Nothobranchius furzeri: one gene and its partners. The protein of the gene in region 3 interacts with the protein of the main gene of each other region in a biochemical or structural test. Links are inferred from orthologs where the notes say so. Each region holds a gene or a part of one and is shown on either strand. Other genes may lie near its edges.

Region 1 (3,238 bases), on a different chromosome or scaffold from region 3:
TTCTTTCTTATCCTTAACAGAAAGATGAAGTGTATCTAAATCTGGTTCTGGACTATGTCCCTGAGACGGTCTACAGAATGGCCAGACACTACAGCCGAGCCAAACAGACACTGCCCATGATTTATGTCAAGGTATTTAAGTGTGTGTGTGTGTGTGTTCCATGCCCAAACTATTAAAGAAAACTATTACAGTAACTGTTGGTATTTAAGTTAGAGTTTGTAAGTATAAAATGTGACCGAACCTCTAAATTTTTGTTCTTTTTATGACTATTTGTTTTTCTAACCATTATTTACTGTTAATATAATCCGATTTAATCTGAGTGTGAGAATATTCCTGTTGTTTAGAACATTTTCTAACCCACTTTGGTGTGTTCTCGCCTGTGTAGTTGTACATGTACCAGCTGTTCAGGAGTCTGGCTTACATCCACTCATTTGGAATCTGCCATCGGGACATCAAACCCCAGAATCTGCTGCTTGATCCAGAGACGGCTGTACTGAAGCTCTGCGACTTTGGCAGGTGAGACGCTGATTTATGAACACAGTAGAAAAGAGACCCTGCTGTTTGTTGAGATGATTAAAGCATTTTGTTTATTTCTGATGTCTCTACTGCAGTTACAGGTGTGCAAACCGGACAATTTTTTAATTAATATTTTTGATTTTAATCGTTCACTCTTGAGTTTTTCATACAGGCTGAACATGAAAAAGGTCTCCTGCTTTAGCTTCTGGTAGAAAATAGAAGGTGAAACTCTAGGATTTGAAAAGCCTGGCAGATCTATGTCACACTGTCACTTAATATTCATGGACTCGTTTCGCTACAGTGCGTCGTCCGTGACTGCGGGGGTGGGGATGGACGCTTGGCCTGGCTAAATCGCTGGGGGGAACCCTGGAAATCATTCTCTATTGATCTTACACATTCACAAAGCCAGTTCTTTTATAAGCTAAATAAATTCAAGATACAGCAAACTATACCCATGGTGGATCAATACAGTCAGGGCTGCTAACTCACGCATTAAGCATAAGACAAATGCATTTGACTGTCTTCACGCGCTCTCATGCCACACCTCTGATTTCTCACACTGATGCATAATAAAAGTTCATCTATCTGTTGCATCGCGCTACTGTACACGCTCCCCTACAGCATGTTTATTTGACTCCTGTGGGGCAAATTTGGCTCTATTATAAAAAATAGAAAAAAGGTCTGGAATCTTAAAAACAACTACGTTTAAAAGCCAGTTAATGTTCAATAAATTTCTATCAACTCTAATTAAAGATTGCGTTAAATAATTCGGATCTCTATTTCAGTCACAAAAATCCTGATCAGCATTTTTGCCATCATATAATAAATGTTTTGATCTCTGTGTGCAGTGCGAAGCAGCTGGTCCGTGGAGAACCTAACGTGTCCTACATCTGCTCCCGCTACTATCGGGCCCCTGAACTCATCTTTGGGGCCACTGACTACACCTCCAGCATAGGTAGGCTCCCCCCTCCAGTGGGAATGTGTGTCTGTTCTTCTGTTTCTGGTGTCTGACTTGTTTTTGACCTGCCTGCTCCTGCAGATGTGTGGTCAGCTGGCTGCGTGCTGGCAGAGCTGTTGCTAGGACAACCAATCTTCCCTGGCGACAGTGGTGTGGATCAATTGGTTGAAATAATTAAGGTAACCTGACCTCTTTTCCCTTTTGTGAGTTATTGTAGTTTTGCAAACAGCTTGTCGAGATTGTTGGTTGTTCCTGTTTTCTCAGGTTCTCGGAACCCCGACCCGAGAGCAAATACGCGAGATGAACCCCAACTACACTGAGTTCAAATTCCCCCAGATTAAGGCACATCCTTGGACTAAGGTGAGTCAACAGGTACAAGAGCACTTTTACTTTATAGTTCCTCTCATGATTCATTTCACTGTTGCTGTCTTTGCTTCATCATCATCATCATCTTCATCCAGATTGAATCAATCAATGTTGTTTAAAAAGCTTCGCTTTGACTTTTTAGACTCAGTGGGAAAAAAAAAATTCACAGAAATCTGTGATCCGTGTCTAGGCAGTACTATCCTGCTAATCTGCTTAAAAGCCAAGTTCACCTCTATTTCCTGCATCAACTTCTGATCGAAAATAGACGGGACAACACTCGGATTAGAAAAGCCAGTGACCTTAGCACATCATAATGTCAAATTGGCATTCATGGACTCGCCCATCTTGGCTCCTGACTGGAAAGGCTGTTGCTGATTTAGCGTCCAGGAAACAGCAGAGTGCCTCTCTGCTTGTAGAAGCTAACAGTTAGCATTAGCAGCTCCACCACATTAGAACTCCTTCAGGCGTGTTTTATTTATGGAGATAAATCATCAATGTTGCAGAGCAAATGGAGGAGGTGGTAGTCTTGTTGCTGTTAGCCAATTAGAAGCAAGATGTCAGAAAATCAGCAAATGAGACTCCCAAGTCCTGCCGTCTGAAGCTCAAGTTCAACGTGGCTCACTTCTAGCTCCTGAAACAGGAGCGCCAAAGCCTTTTCCCCACAGAAATGTACTCACAAACCATTTTTTACTTGTTATTTTTGAGTTAGATCGGTCACACTGAGTTTATCATGCAGGTTAAACGTTAGAATAGTCTTCTACCCCTATTTCCTGCATTAGTCGGGAATAGAAAATAGATGGAGAAATGCTTAGGTTAGAAAAGCCAATCAGATCCACGTCACACTGAAAATTAGCAATTATAGACTCACCCATCTTGGCTCCTGACGGAGAAGGCTGTTGTTGTTTTAGCGTCCAGGAGAGAGTAGAGCATATTTTGGCTAGTAGAAGCTAACCATTAGCATTAGCAACTTCACAACTTGACAGAACTCCTCCTGACTTGTGTTATTTGTGGAGATAAAACATCACCATTGCAGAGGAAATGAAGGAGGTGGTAGAGTCGCGTTGCTGTTAGCCAGTCAGGTGAGATGTGCAGGTATCAGTAAGAGAGACACCAAATCCTGCCGTCATCTGCTCTGGCTAACGTCTAGCTCCTGAAACAGGAGTGTCAGAGCTTTTATCACACAGATTAACTAACATGGCATTCGTTTTTACTAGAGACTATTGCAAATGTGTTGGAAAAAAATAAATGAACTTTGTTTCTAGGCTTTTACATGTTGACAAATGTGTTAGCTGTCCTCAAATACCTTTCGTCGAGCAACAGTCATCTTGTTGATTTGTGTCTGTAATTTGTCGTTCAGGTCTTCCGGCCTCGCACACCTCCAGAGGCCATCGCCTTGTG
Region 2 (3,520 bases), on a different chromosome or scaffold from region 3:
TGGCTGCAGTTTCTTTTATTTTTATTTCTCTTTTGACTGAAAAAGTGGTCACACTGGAACCCGAGGACAGAAGCAGAAACGTTGCTGCTCAACAGCACCATCACCATTGCACACCCACCTCTGCACTGCCACACCCAGACGGTAAACCTGTACAAGTGAAATGAAAACAGAACCGGGGCATTATGGGATGGTTCCAGCTCACTGCCATCTCTGACAGGAACACCTCCCCGTCTCACACTTACAGTCAGGCGTTTTCAGCTGCGGAGCCGCTCGAGGCACCTGCGTGCTTCAGCTCACACATCAAGCAGAGGAAGTTGAACATTTGGAGCTGACCTTTGGGGGAACTCTGTGGGATCACTACTTCAGCTCCAGCATTTAGTGTTGCAGCTGAATGGTATCCCCAACTCCTTGTTGATCTCAGCAGCTGTAGTTGTTTTGCTCCGTGGAGCTCTAACCTCTAACAATGATTACAGGCCACGAAGCAGGGTGCAAATTTTGGCATGCCACCTGTAATTTGGCAGCTAAAAGGTTTAGCTAGAGATGTTGGTTCTGAAGGTAATAAGGAGGTTGAGAAGCCTCCTCCCTAACGGAGGCCTGTGTAACATGTGCATACGTGTTACATCAACTTTCTGCCATTGATTTTAAAAGTTCAAACAGAATCTTTAACACTCCAGGTTCGCCAGCTTTAATCTGAGATGAGAACTGTTGTCTTGCAAAGCTTCGAGGCTTTTTTCACACTGTGACCTCCAAAATGCCATCAGAGTCTAAGTCGAAGTGGATTTCTTGAAGGTTTTTCATCTATTTTTCTGCACAATAAAAAAAAAAAAAACAAAGAAAGAAAAGCTTGATGCCAATCTGTCTGTTTTAAATCAATATAATGCACCTCATAAACCTAATATCAGACAGAAAACACACTTTTCTGCAACTGGCAGGCCTTTCCACAGTTCCCACCACCATCTCTCATTAGAAAGCACTCCTTCATTTTCCTGTTTTTTTAAGTTTGGCGCAGCTTCAAAAAGAGAAACTATAAAATAATCACTTTTCCCTTTTCTTCTGAGTATTTATTTGACTGTTTGAAGTCACAAGTGATGCAACTATTTTAATAAAACAAACAAAAGAAGGTGCCACGTCTTTTGGAGCCACCAGTGATTGAAAACGTCTCTTTCAGGGCGCTGACGTTCCAAACTCATTTCATTCCTCAGTCGAAAATGCGTATTGCTCACTAATCAGCCCGGCTACTACTGTAAAGTGAAATTTTGTTTTTCTTTACTCGTGAATAGGATTGAGCAAAAGTTTTCAACCATTATTCAATGTCTCTAACAAGCCAGACATTCTTGATGAGGCGTTCTTTAAGCTTAAAGATCTCTACGCTGTTTGGCTGCGTTTACCTCCCTCCCTTCAGTCCACTCACACCGGACCGCGGCAGCTTATAGAAGAGCCCTGTTCTAATCTCTGCTTGACCCTTATCAGCCAAGGTTCAGACACTCTTCTGGTTGTACTGATATTTTATTAATGTTATAATCCAAATACGACTCTGGTCGCGGTGCCGTGCTTGTATAGTTCTGGTGTTTGGCTGCCTGGAGCTCGTGTTGGTCAGGCCTCAACACTAATACATGTAAAACAAACACCCAGGTGTCGTGGGTTCAGCCAGCCACTCAGAGATAATACGTTTAAACTCTCTTAGGTAATGAAATCCGTAGCAGCTCATTATATAAAAATCAAGATCATCACGGCTAATATGTTTAAATTAGACCCCATTTCCTGCAGGCCTGAAGTTATTAGAGTTCAAGACAAATATTTATTATTCAAATATAAGAATAATCATACAGACAACAGACAGTGATCCTGACTCATTGATAACTAAAGTGGCCTAAAATAACTGAATAGGTACGGTTGATCCAAACCACACACTACTGAGCCTACAGCAACAAGGCAGCAGTTGTCTCTGAGACGCTGTGGTCAGACAGAAAGCTGCTTTTAGCTCAGAGGTTCATCGTCTTTCAAGAAGGACTTGTCCAGTTCCTCTGTGCTCACCTGAAATGTTCGGAGCCATTCCTGGAGACCCGAAGGTGGCTGGATTGAGGTGATGCGTCGCCTCTGCTGCCCCTGGCCATTGGCTGCTCTGATGTGGCCGAATGTGGTGGGTGTTGCGGGACATGGGACAATACCTGTTGGGCTGTAATTTAGGGACAAAACACAAGACACCTTAAAATAATCAACAACGATAGAAGAGACAACCCACCATTGTCCAAAGTATTCAGAAAACGGAATCAATGCTTTTAAAAGGCTGTTTTAACTCAAGAGTTTCATCTAAAACCTTCACAAAGACCTTTTCGCTCAGACACATAGATATACACAGACTAGCGTCAAAATGTCCAGAATACACTGATGTCAGCGGTGCAGGACTTCAAAAGGACCGGGTGTACCTTTTTAATAGCAGGGCAGTAGCAGAAACTACCCTGCAGGCCCTCTTAAGGCTTTGGGTTTAGCCTGCTGGCAGCCAAATGGGTGCTTGGGGTCGATTTCATTATCGATTCATTTTTAATGGGAGAGGAAGCTGAGAGGGGGCCAGTTACATGGCAACATTTACACTTAAGTGGCTGTGTTCAGTCAGAATTTTAATGGTGCTACATGTGAACATTAAATATTCAGAGTGAGAGAAACATCTGGATCTACAGCACCCGCCTGTTTGACGGTGTAGGCCGCACCTCTGTTTGAAACACTTGATATTTTTTATTTGGCCTAATCAGAAGTTCATGTAGTGCGTGTGGTGCATGAGAAACACAGTGCACAGAAAAATCAGCAGCAGGATGTGTAGCTGTACCTTGGGTACTCTGAGCCTTTGCAGGGTTTTTTTCCTGAAGGGAACGATCGGACCTCGGGGCCATGGTCCAACTTTCTCTTCATCTGAGGGAGATGGGACAGAGAATTTTAAAATGTTGGAAATCAAACACAAGCTAAAGTCTATAATCCTTCATTTTAGATCCAGAGAATATTTCACTGTGCTTGGACAAAGCCAGAGTTTGGAAATCTAATTTAAGACAGACATGGGTCAGGGAGGCTTTCAAAGACAAAAGCAGAGGCGGAGCGTTGCTTCTAAATACTACAGACGAACACTAAAAGTGATGTTTTACATATTCAAATACAACAAATGGGAATTTACATCATGCAAATAAGAAATCTCTTGTGACATTTCAGTTTCCCACCTCGCTCTAAACTAACATAATCCATCTGTAGACAAAAAGTTCTATAATGTGAGACAGCAGCCAAAGTAGGTGACTAACTCTGTTTGTCTTCATCTCAAACAAGATAAGCACAAGACCGGTGATCCCCGGGCAACCAGACACACAATAATAACCAGAGGCAAACACATTCACACCCAAATTCCAGGAGTACAGCGTGTCCGTGCACACACACCACAACCACAAAATATGAGACGTCTAACAAAAAAGGGTACAAGGTGCACTTTTAACTCTGTGCTTCATCCCAAACAAAACAAAAGCAAGTGGGTTTATTATTC
Region 3 (3,520 bases):
GGGCAAACATGCTTCATCTCTAACAGCTACCACCCTGAATAAAGCTGAAACCTATTGTTGAAGCTATTATTGCAGCAGGTCTGGTGTTACTCACTTCCTGACTGTGTTTTGTTGCTAGTTTTCATAATATAACTGTAATTGTGGTTTAGATGGTATGAATGGTTTCATGTTTTGTACAGTTCTCTGAGGAACCTGTGTGCTGACCACCAGGAGTGGTTCTGCAGCAGAAACCAGGAGAACGGTTTCAAATCAAATCAAAGATACTTTATTGATCCCGGAGGGAAATTAGAGTTTCAGTACACACAATTCAGAGATCAGACATACATGGGCAAGACACATGACAAGAATTGGTGACTGTGGTCATTCGCAACCCTGAGTCGCGCTACCTTAATAGAGATAAGAGGGTTACATGAGGATTGGTTCAGGTGGAGGGAAAAAACGGCACTTCAGAGTTACCCTCCAGCAGGAGGGCAGCTTTGCTCTGCAAAAAACACCTCAAACATATATGCGACAGACTTCAGACATTACACAAACATGAGACTCCAATAGGAAGGTGGGGGGCTGGGATCCTGTTTCCCCCAATGAGAGCAGCCATCTACGGCGCTCATCTACTGTACAGTCACAGGTGGGAGGGAGATCTTGGGAGAAGCAAAGAGCTAGGGCTGTAGCGAAGCCTCGACGAAGTCGACGGCTCGATTCTAAAAATTTGTCGACGTCAGATCTGGAAGTCGACGCACCGCGCCCACTTGTTGCATCCCCAGGAGTTTGTAAATAGAGGAGGAATCTGCCTGTTTTTCCTCTAGTTCGCCCTCTTCTCCGCCTTCACTAACATCTCCGCCAAATACCGAAGACCCGGAACAACGTCCGTCCATTACTAGATTCCTTTCCTGTTTTGCCCATTCGTCTCCCGGCAACGGACAACAACTTCCGGGTCAGATGCGCTGCTTCGTCTCTATCGCAGATGTAGAAAATCACCGGGAGCGTTTCTCCCTTCATTAAGGAGCTTCTTTCAGACATTAGGAGAGCTGTTTTGGTGGTAGCAGTCTCTCCTCCGTGCTGGTCTGTTTGCTGCTGGGTGTTTTTGGTTTATTTAAACTTGGTAACTTGAACTTAATGTTGGTAAAGCTACTGTTAGCATCTTCGCTAACAGCTTCTTGCGTTTGGATAAGCTGTTACGTTTTGGTTTAGAGTTCATCTTTTTTGTGGTGTAGATCTCCCTTTCATTACATTTAGAGTGTTGTGGGTTTTCGGTTTAGTTCAAAATATCACCTTGAGTTTGGTTTAACCCGTAAGACCAGTCGCCTCACGCACATAAGTGACCAAAACAAAGCAGCATGGAGACACTCCGTCTTCTACCACCTCTCAGGCAGCAGCCTGCTCTCCCACGTTCTACACGTCACCAGAACATAACCAACCAACACAATAAAAGCAGTGTTATACAAAATGGAAGGCCTGTAGTGTTTATTCTCTTACAGAAACAATTTATCAATTTTTTGAGGAATTTATTAGAGATTTTTTGGTTTTTGTTAATTGTGCAATAGAAAAATAATCATTAGATAAATTTTCTAAATAGTCATTAGAATAGTCGACTATTCGATAAAATAATCGTCAGAATAATCGTTTTAAAAATAATCGTTTACCCCCAGCCCTACAAAGAGCACATTGACTCCTACAGATTTGGGGACTTCAGCCTGGCGAGGTCATCAATCAGAAGACGGGGGGGGGGGGGGGGGTGTTAGGTTTTCACAGCATCTGTCTGCATTCCTTCGTGGGGGTTTTATTTGCTCGCCGCTCAAGGCTACCAGGGCGTCAGATTCAGATAACACGACTTTGTTTGGGTCAGGCTGAGATAATTTTCCTCTCTCCCTTCAGTATTTAAACTGATCATTCCAGTCCTTCAGTGAAGCTAATTTTAGATTTTTAAACCTGTCCATTCCGTCCGTTGACTCTCTCCGAGATGACATCCATTTTGCGCACTAATACCGGTAACGCAGCTAGAACATTGTACAGCTTACGATTCACCTCGAGTAACGTCCCAGTCTGTGAGGTCTCCACACGGACGGTGCTTTCCGTGGGTCCGGGTCTCCCTCCAATCCTCCCGTCTTGCCAAATTTCCAGAAAACCAGATATCCTCCCACTCCAATCAGGAGAAATCCAGTGATCATCAGGCCGAATATCCACACGTCTTTGATATCCTCAATGGACAGCTGGCTGAGGCATATGATCTTCCACTCCCTCCAGGAATCCAAAATATACCCCACCGGGTGTGTCTCCTGTGGACATGTGGGAGCCCCCTGCTCCGTTCTCATTGTTGAAAAAATCTTATCGATCGCAGTGAATGACCAGTTTATCAGATCCATGGTTAGTAAAAATAGAGTTTTTCAGAAGAAATGCAGTGAAGCGCTCTGTGGGCAGACAGGACAAAGAGCCTTGAGAAAAAAAGATAAGGGAGCGAAAGAGAGAAGCGTCTGTACTCCTCTAGTGCCTTGAAGAGAATATGGGATGGTTAATATATGTATATATAAAACTGTAATTGTGGTTCTGCTTCTTCCCTGTTTGCAGTTGGCAGCCCCAGCAGCGTGAGCCTCCCCATCACCACTTTGTCGTCCTCCCCTCCCAGCGTCCAGCCTGTGGCTATTCAGACTCAGCTCCAGGCGCTGACCACAACCACCCCCATTTTGGCCACAACCACAAGCCCTCCAGCTCAGACTATCGCACCGCAGATGCAGCAAGTTCCTGTGAGTGGGTGAAGCCGACCAATTGGATGAATGGCGTGTGTGTGTGTGTGTGTGTTACTGATTTGTGGATATTTGCGTGTCTCTCAGGTGCTGCTGCAGCCCCAGTTCATCAAAGCCGAGTCCCTGCTGCTCACCACTCTGAAACCTGACCCGTGCATCGTCACAACCGTAGCCTCCCCCACGTCTCTGGCCACCACCAGCAGCCCTGTTCAGAGCACCTCCCTGCAGGTAGGCGTGCTTGGATTGAGACTCAAAAATGATGGCGTCTGATATGAGTTATAACTCTTCTTTATTCCTCTCTAGGCCTTTGTGGGCGGTGGCACCATCCTGACCACGGTACCTGTGATGGTGGATGCTGAAAAGATCCCAATCAACCGCATTGCCATCGCCGGCAAGCCAATGGGACAGCCTCACAAGGGGGAGAAGCGCACAGCTCACAATGCCATCGAGAAGCGTTATCGTTCTTCTATCAACGATAAAATAGTGGAGCTGAAGGACCTGGTGGCTGGAACGGACGCCAAGGTGGGAGACTGTTTATCATTTACACTTCTCAGTGTTCTCTGTTTATACCAGACTGCGTAGCAAAGGCCCAACTGAACGCGATCCTTTTTACAGTTGAACAAGTCGGCGGTTCTGAGGAAAGCCATCGACTACATCCGCTACCTGCAGCAGACCAACCAGAAACTCAAACAGGAGAACATGGCTCTCAAAATGGCCACGCAGAAAAACAGTAGGCGCCTTCTCCTGCAGTTGTTTTTGCCCCATAAGAGTATTTGACCTTT
Region 4 (3,520 bases), on a different chromosome or scaffold from region 3:
CGTTGAGGATTTCAATGCACTTGTTGAGTTGCTGTCCACCTGCAGACGTTGAAAATTCATAAACGAGGAAGTCGGCGAAGGTACGGACGTGAGCCACCAGAGCGCGAGCTCCAATTCGCTCCAACACCCTGATGAAGAGGAGAAAAAAAACCAAAAAGAGTGACGAAGTGAGCCTAGACAAGTTTGGATTTAAAAGCAGCAAAGATCAGAGCGGACCTGAAGCCTATCTGGTTGATGTGGTCGGTCTCCAGCAGCATCTTCCACAGCAGACACAGGAAGAGGGGAGGAGAGCCCTGCATGGAGAAGTGGGTGATGATGTCGTTCTCGTTGGCCATCGACTTCCACTTCCTGTACTCTTCTTCCACGTTTTTCTTCAGGTTGAAACGAGACTCCTGAGGAACGTTGTTCTGTTTAAAGAACGCCTGAAACACACACAGGTGCTGAAGTTAACCCAACAAGTTGTTTAATTTAATAATTCATTTATTCACTTTTGTCCCGCCCTGTTTGTTGAGGGGGAAACCTTCTGCACCTGCAGCGGAGCAGGGAAGCAGGACAGAGTGTGTGAGGCCCAGTTGTGAGGTGTGAAGTTCATGATGGTCTGGAGGATGTCCTTACACCAAGTCCCATGGATGGAATCAGACCCTGTGAAAAAGTCTCATACAGACAAACCAGCACAGAGACTCAAACACCTGATTCTATTATTATTATTTAAAAAGGCAGTAAATTAAACCAAATGTGAGTAAATGCAAATCCTGTCTAAGAGGTACCGGTGACATGTGTGGCTCGAGCCAGAGTGAGGATCAAGGCTCGGTTCAGCTCCTCCGATTCAGCTGACAGAACCGTCTTCGGGTCGTTGAGGAAGCGGGTGAACTGAGGTTGTACCTCTGAACTCCCCAAAGCTGTGATCAGCCTCAGAGCCGTGCTCTCAACGCTGAGAAGGAGACGAGAAATCTGTTAACTAGGTCATAGGAACAGCTTGCGATGTCTCGAGATGCAGAGTTACCACAGGTGCAGCTGGTTCTGGTTGGTCTGCGGTACCGCGGACAGGCTGTGCAGATGACTCAGCAGCTGGATTCTGTAGTGCGGCTGGACGTGGTGCATCCTGTAGCTGAACATCTCCAGCAGCGTGTGCAGGATTCCCCACGCGTGAGACTTAAACACGTTGGGCAACAGCTGGCCTGAAGTGAAGAGGTGGTTAATCAGATTATTTATGATGAATGAGATATGTGCCTGCCAACTCCGGGTCGGGGGAGGGGTCCTACCTCAAGGGGAGGAGTTTAAGTATCTCGGGGTATTGTTCACGAGTGAGGGTAGGAGGGATCGGGAGATCGACAGGCGAATTGGTTCGGCGTCTGCAGTGATGCGGACGCTGAGCCGATCTGTCGTGGGGAAGAGGGAGCTGAGCCAGAAAGCCAGGCTCTCGATTTACCGGTCGATCTAAGTCCCAATCCTCACCTACGGTCATGAGCTTTGGGTAATGACCGAAAGAACGAGATCGCGGATACAAGCGGCTGAATTGAGTTTCCTCCGTAGGGTGGCCGGGCTCAGCCTTAGAGATAGGTTGAGGAGCTCGGACATTCGGGAGGGACTCGGAGTAGAACCGCTGCTCCTCCGGATCGAAAGGAGTCAGTTGAGGTGGTTTGGGCATCTGGTCAGGATGCCTCCTGGACGCCTCCCTGGGGAGGTGTTTCGGGCATGTCCTGCCAGCAGGAGGCCCCCGGGTCGACCCAGGACACGTTGGAGAGGTTACATCTCCAATCTGGTCCGGGAACGCCTTGGGGTCCTGCCGGAGGAGCTGGTGGAGGTGGCCGGGGAGAGGACGGTCTGGAGCTCCCTAGTTGGGATGCTGCCCCCACGACCCGGACCCGGATAAGCGGAGGAAGTCGATGACGAGATATGTTATGAGCTAAATCTCAGAGCTCACTTCAAGTGTTCTATCAACAAGGATCAACCTAAGTAAACCCACTGATGAATCCTTTGATGCCCAGTGACTCGATCTCCATGTAGACCAGCAGTCGGCTGTATGTCTCCACCAGTGCGGGGGCCAAGGCCAGGCTGGACTTGGTGTGGGCCAGCTTGATCACACGTGTGGCGATGCTGTGGATCAGACTGAAGACAAACAGGAAGTGAAAGTTTTAAACAAAAACAGCTGAAGTAACTTAAGTTTCTTGTCCTACCTCATCTTAGCATGCACAGTGATGGAATCCAACAGATTCATGGGCAGCGGGGTGATGGATCCCGACGCCATGCAGCTGGTTCCAGGCAGGTTGATCCTTACAGATCCGTTTCCATAAATGGTCTCCACCAGGACCCCCATAGGCAGGGTGAAGCACTCAGAGTTTGTGCTATAAGCGTTACACAGCAGGGCGATTTTATAGTCGGACATGCCCAGGGTTTTGTTACGAAGAGACTGCTGGAGGAACCTAAAACCCAAAGACAGAATTAACTAGATAAAAGGGTGATTTTAGTCATTTAAGGCAATGTTCCAGATTTTTACTCGTGGTGGAGTTTCAGAGAGTGTGGGATTGGTATCTGCAATTTGGAGTTGTCATTCTGAGCTTTGCGGTTCAGATGGATCCAGATGCAGGTCATGGCAAAGGAGTGGGTGGACTGGGGCTTGTTAATGTCAGGAACCTGGATGCACTGCAGAGGGACAGACAGTTTAGGTATCGTCTGCATTACTGACTAAAGTAATGATGAGAAATACAACAATTATTAGTTAAAATGGTTAAATTAATATTAAATTAATATTTTTATTTCAAAGCAGCCAGACAAAGAGCAAACTGAAGTCTTTTTGGTACAAATAACAGCGATCGTGTCTTCATGTTACCTCTTTTTCAGGGTACAGCAGATCAAAAAGCTTCATGACCGGCAGGAAGTCAGCCAGTGCATTTTTCTGAATGCTGCCAGATATAAACTGCAGCAGGACCCACATCAGGTGGTCCCTCCCTTTTATTAGGCCTCGGCCTGCAAGCTGAGGAAAAAGAATATCAGCTTTATTAAAGGGACTTTACGGACTTTTGAATGTTTATGCTCGCTATTGCCCCCTCAGGCCAAAAGCGTAACAGAAGCTTCAATGGTAGGCTCATGCACGATGGTGTACGTGCACACTCCTTAACGAAAATAACAGCTGAGACAGCACGTGCACGCGCGCGCGCGTGTGTGTGTGTGTCTGTGTGTGTGTGTGTGTGTCTGTGTGTGTGTGTGTGTGTGTGGCCCAGAGGACAGAGGACAGGAGAACGCGCAGCTAATTAATTAAATAATTTGGTTCTGTACCTTTCTCTTCAGCACAGCCGACAAAGGTTTATGATGGGTCAGTCCTCCTGCATGCTCAGATCATTCCCTTCCCTTGCTTGAAAAATTGTTCCAAAATGAAAGTTGAACCCACATCTTTTTTATCTGTGAATTCAATGCCGTTCGGCGAGTCTCAAATAAAAATTTGGGCATCTTACTGTAAAAAATATACCATTAATGTAAAAAAGAAACTCTAAATAAACTATGTTCACACCCAGAATCAAAC
Region 5 (2,807 bases), about 50 Mb from region 3:
ATGTTTGATATCGAGTACTTCAGACGGGACCCTAGACCCTTTTTCAAGTTTGCTAAGGTTGGTTTGTGGTGTCTGCTGAGCTTTTCATGCAGGCTGAACATGAAGATAGTCTCCTACACCTGTCTCCTGCTTTAGCTTCTGATAGAAAACAAACGGTGAAACTCTAGGATTAGAAAAGCCTGACAGATCTACGTCACGCTGTCACTTAACATTCATGGACTCGCCCATCCTCACTCACGACGGGGAAGGCTGTTGTTGGTTTAGCGTCAAGGAAAAGGAAGCTAACAATTAGCATTAGCAACTCCACCACACAGCAAAACTCCTTTTAGGATTGTGTTACTTTTGGAGATTAAACATCAACATTGCAGAGCAGAGTCAGTGGTAGAGTCGCTTTGCTGTTAGCCAATCAGAGGCGAGATGTCCTAATATCAGGAGATAAGACTCCAAAACCTGCCATGTTTCTTCTCCTGCCGACTTTTCTGACCCCAGACAGCCGCACCAATTTTTTCCCCAGAGTACGACACTTAAATTCATTCCTACTGGCGACTACTGTAAATGCATTAAAGTACAAGTAGAGTTAACCATACATAAATATAAAAGTATGTATTGCTCTACACCCTCAGGTTTTGGCACAGTAAAAAAAGGTTTCACTGAAAACTTTAAGATGCCTCAAGTAATGAGTCAGAAAAGGGCCGGATGATCAAAAACAGACCCAGACGGGCTCCGTCAACAGGCCTTCCCCTCTCAGCACGTGACTTAAACATGGGAGGTGGAGGTTGTCCCAAATAAAGGTTACGTAGATCACTAGCATGGCAATATTTTAGTTTTTACAAGTTTTACAGAAATAAACAATGGTTGTTTGCAAAATTAGCAGAAAATTGATGAAATACAAGTCTGGTAACACGACTAACTTGTTTATCACAAAGTAATGACTTAAAATGACCAGGGGTCTCATTTATCAAACATTGGTAAATCCGTACTAAAACCGTACTTAAGCTCAACAAAAAAATGTACTTAAGCCAAGCAGGTTTGTGATCTATCAAACATGGAGTACACACAGCTGCACGCAATCTCCGCTTCATAAATCAGAGACTATCTAGAAAGGTTCTCAGCTGCATTTTAGTCACATCTCGCCCTCACCACGCCCACTTACTGCCATAAATGGTCAATGCAAAGTGCCTTGTGGATCTCATGCATATACATGAGCCGTTGCATATACATGAGCCGGCTTGTTGCAGCATTTCGATCATGACCGCAGATCAAGGAGGCGCTATTTCACAAGCAGAAGTTGAGGTACTTGTGGGTGAGGTGGAGAAATGAAAGGAAGTGCTTTTGCAAAACAAATAAGAGAAAATCCACAGAGTGGCACAGCGTTGCTGAAGCCGTCAATGTTGTGAGTTCTTCAGAGAGATCTGTGGCGGATATGAAAGAAATAGTCCAATCAGGATTCGATCCCCAGACTCAGGTGAGTCACGCTAACCAGTCATCCAAACAGAGATCTCCCCTGTTCAAGTAGCCAGGGTGCATGATCAATCGGGTCACAGTGACAGGACACACACACACCGTCACAGACGCATGACATTCTGTCTCAATCTGTCCCCCTGCTGATATTCTGCATTCCGTATTCTGTGCTTCAGGCTGTGTGTGTGCATGCATGTGTGTGCGTGTGTGCGTGTGGGGGGTCTTGTTCTGTGAGAAAACGAAGCAGTACCAGTGATAATGCTGCAGGATTTCATAATTGTATCTTCTCAGCAGCAGCGCTGCAGGTGCTCTCCATGTCCAACATGTGTGTAAGCCAGGTCCTTAGTCAACTTAAAGTTGCGCACATTTTTCTGCCAAGTTTTCTTTCATAAATCCCAAAGTTTGCGTGAAAAGTTGCTTACGCAGTTTTCCGACCCTGTTTCGTGCGTAAGCAAGCTTGATAAATGAGACCCCTGGGCTGCATTTAAAATGAGTGGTTTATTTATAGTTCACAATAATTATTCAAATCAATCAATAAGAATTTTTATTGCTATTCCTTTTTTCTATATCGTCCATTGGTCATCTTCCGTTGGTATTGAGATCAGTTTGGGCTAGGGATGCACCGATACCAGGAATCGATACCAGGAATCGATACCAGTGCAGTTGCTTGAAAACGGCTTTACTGTAAATTGTCGTTTCTGTTCACTTAATATTTTAGTTTTATGATGATTTCCATTCATATAGGTTACTTTTTATCTACCTCACAGTATTTTCCTGTTGAATGCAGAGAAGAAAATTTCATCTGTATTCCAAATCATTGCATTTTTTTGTGTGGGAGGGGTATCGGTATTGGCGAGTACTGAGATCCCAGTATCGGTTTGGAAAAAAGGGGGTATCGTTGCATCCCTAGTCTGGGCTGAACTTTTAAAAACCTGTTAAAGAAGCAAACGTGAATTTGTTTCAACTCTACTGCTAAATAAGTCTTCATTCCTGCAGGAGATCTACCCCGGTCAGTTCCAACCTTCACCCTGCCACAGGTTCATTTCGATGTTAGACAAGCAAGAGAAGCTGCTACGCAATTACACACAAAACATCGACACGTTGGAGCAAGTGGCTGGAGTTCAGAGGATCATCCAGTGTCACGGTGAGTTTTAGTTTGCATTTTGTTGTACATCTACGCCGCTGCCATAGCGCTAAATAATCATGTGTGTGTGTGTGTGTGTTTTATTTCAGGGTCCTTCGCAACTGCGTCCTGTCTTGTTTGTAAACAAAAAGTGGATTGTGAAGCTATAAGGGAAGATGTCTTTAATCAGGTACATTTTAAACTGGACCAACAGAACGTTGAT

Evidence for each region. The genes of interacting proteins can lie anywhere in the genome.
Region 1: the proteins of srebf1 (region 3) and gsk3ba form a complex in vitro, tested with the Homo sapiens proteins (2 studies listed by BioGRID, with this or other methods). The link is inferred for Nothobranchius furzeri from reciprocal best matches to the Homo sapiens genes SREBF1 and GSK3B.
Region 2: the proteins of srebf1 (region 3) and fbxw7 form a complex in vitro, tested with the Homo sapiens proteins (3 studies listed by BioGRID, with this or other methods). The link is inferred for Nothobranchius furzeri from reciprocal best matches to the Homo sapiens genes SREBF1 and FBXW7.
Region 4: the proteins of srebf1 (region 3) and med23 form a complex in vitro, tested with the Homo sapiens proteins (2 studies listed by BioGRID). The link is inferred for Nothobranchius furzeri from reciprocal best matches to the Homo sapiens genes SREBF1 and MED23.
Region 5: of the proteins of srebf1 (region 3) and sirt1, one has a biochemical effect on the other in vitro, tested with the Homo sapiens proteins (2 studies listed by BioGRID, with this or other methods). The link is inferred for Nothobranchius furzeri from reciprocal best matches to the Homo sapiens genes SREBF1 and SIRT1.

What each region holds. Positions count from the first base shown.
Region 1 is NC_091754.1:24,484,231-24,487,468, forward strand, and holds part of gsk3ba (glycogen synthase kinase-3 beta), read left to right. Parts: intron 1-20; coding exon 21-131; intron 132-385; coding exon 386-516; intron 517-1,364; coding exon 1,365-1,471; intron 1,472-1,555; coding exon 1,556-1,653; intron 1,654-1,738; coding exon 1,739-1,846; intron 1,847-3,197; coding exon 3,198-3,238. UniProt on the Homo sapiens protein: Constitutively active protein kinase that acts as a negative regulator in the hormonal control of glucose homeostasis, Wnt signaling and regulation of transcription factors and microtubules, by phosphorylating and inactivating glycogen synthase (GYS1 or GYS2), EIF2B, CTNNB1/beta-catenin, APC, AXIN1, DPYSL2/CRMP2, JUN, NFATC1/NFATC, MAPT/TAU and MACF1.
Region 2 is NC_091747.1:80,739,335-80,742,854, forward strand, and holds part of fbxw7 (F-box/WD repeat-containing protein 7), read right to left. Parts: intron 2,908-3,520; coding exon 2,825-2,907; intron 2,177-2,824; coding exon 2,035-2,176; intron 1-2,034. UniProt on the Homo sapiens protein: Substrate recognition component of a SCF (SKP1-CUL1-F-box protein) E3 ubiquitin-protein ligase complex which mediates the ubiquitination and subsequent proteasomal degradation of target proteins.
Region 3 is NC_091752.1:55,490,125-55,493,644, reverse strand, and holds part of srebf1 (sterol regulatory element-binding protein 1), read left to right. Parts: intron 1-2,562; coding exon 2,563-2,738; intron 2,739-2,825; coding exon 2,826-2,966; intron 2,967-3,041; coding exon 3,042-3,260; intron 3,261-3,353; coding exon 3,354-3,468; intron 3,469-3,520.
Region 4 is NC_091742.1:26,135,515-26,139,034, reverse strand, and holds part of med23 (mediator of RNA polymerase II transcription subunit 23), read right to left. Parts: intron 2,975-3,520; coding exon 2,831-2,974; intron 2,644-2,830; coding exon 2,498-2,643; intron 2,424-2,497; coding exon 2,178-2,423; intron 2,110-2,177; coding exon 1,967-2,109; intron 1,179-1,966; coding exon 1,004-1,178; intron 932-1,003; coding exon 768-931; intron 655-767; coding exon 530-654; intron 423-529; coding exon 217-422; intron 129-216; coding exon 1-128. UniProt on the Homo sapiens protein: Required for transcriptional activation subsequent to the assembly of the pre-initiation complex. Component of the Mediator complex, a coactivator involved in the regulated transcription of nearly all RNA polymerase II-dependent genes.
Region 5 is NC_091752.1:5,649,153-5,651,959, reverse strand, and holds part of sirt1 (NAD-dependent protein deacetylase sirtuin-1), read left to right. Parts: coding exon 1-57; intron 58-2,457; coding exon 2,458-2,605; intron 2,606-2,694; coding exon 2,695-2,774; intron 2,775-2,807. UniProt on the Homo sapiens protein: NAD-dependent protein deacetylase that links transcriptional regulation directly to intracellular energetics and participates in the coordination of several separated cellular functions such as cell cycle, response to DNA damage, metabolism, apoptosis and autophagy.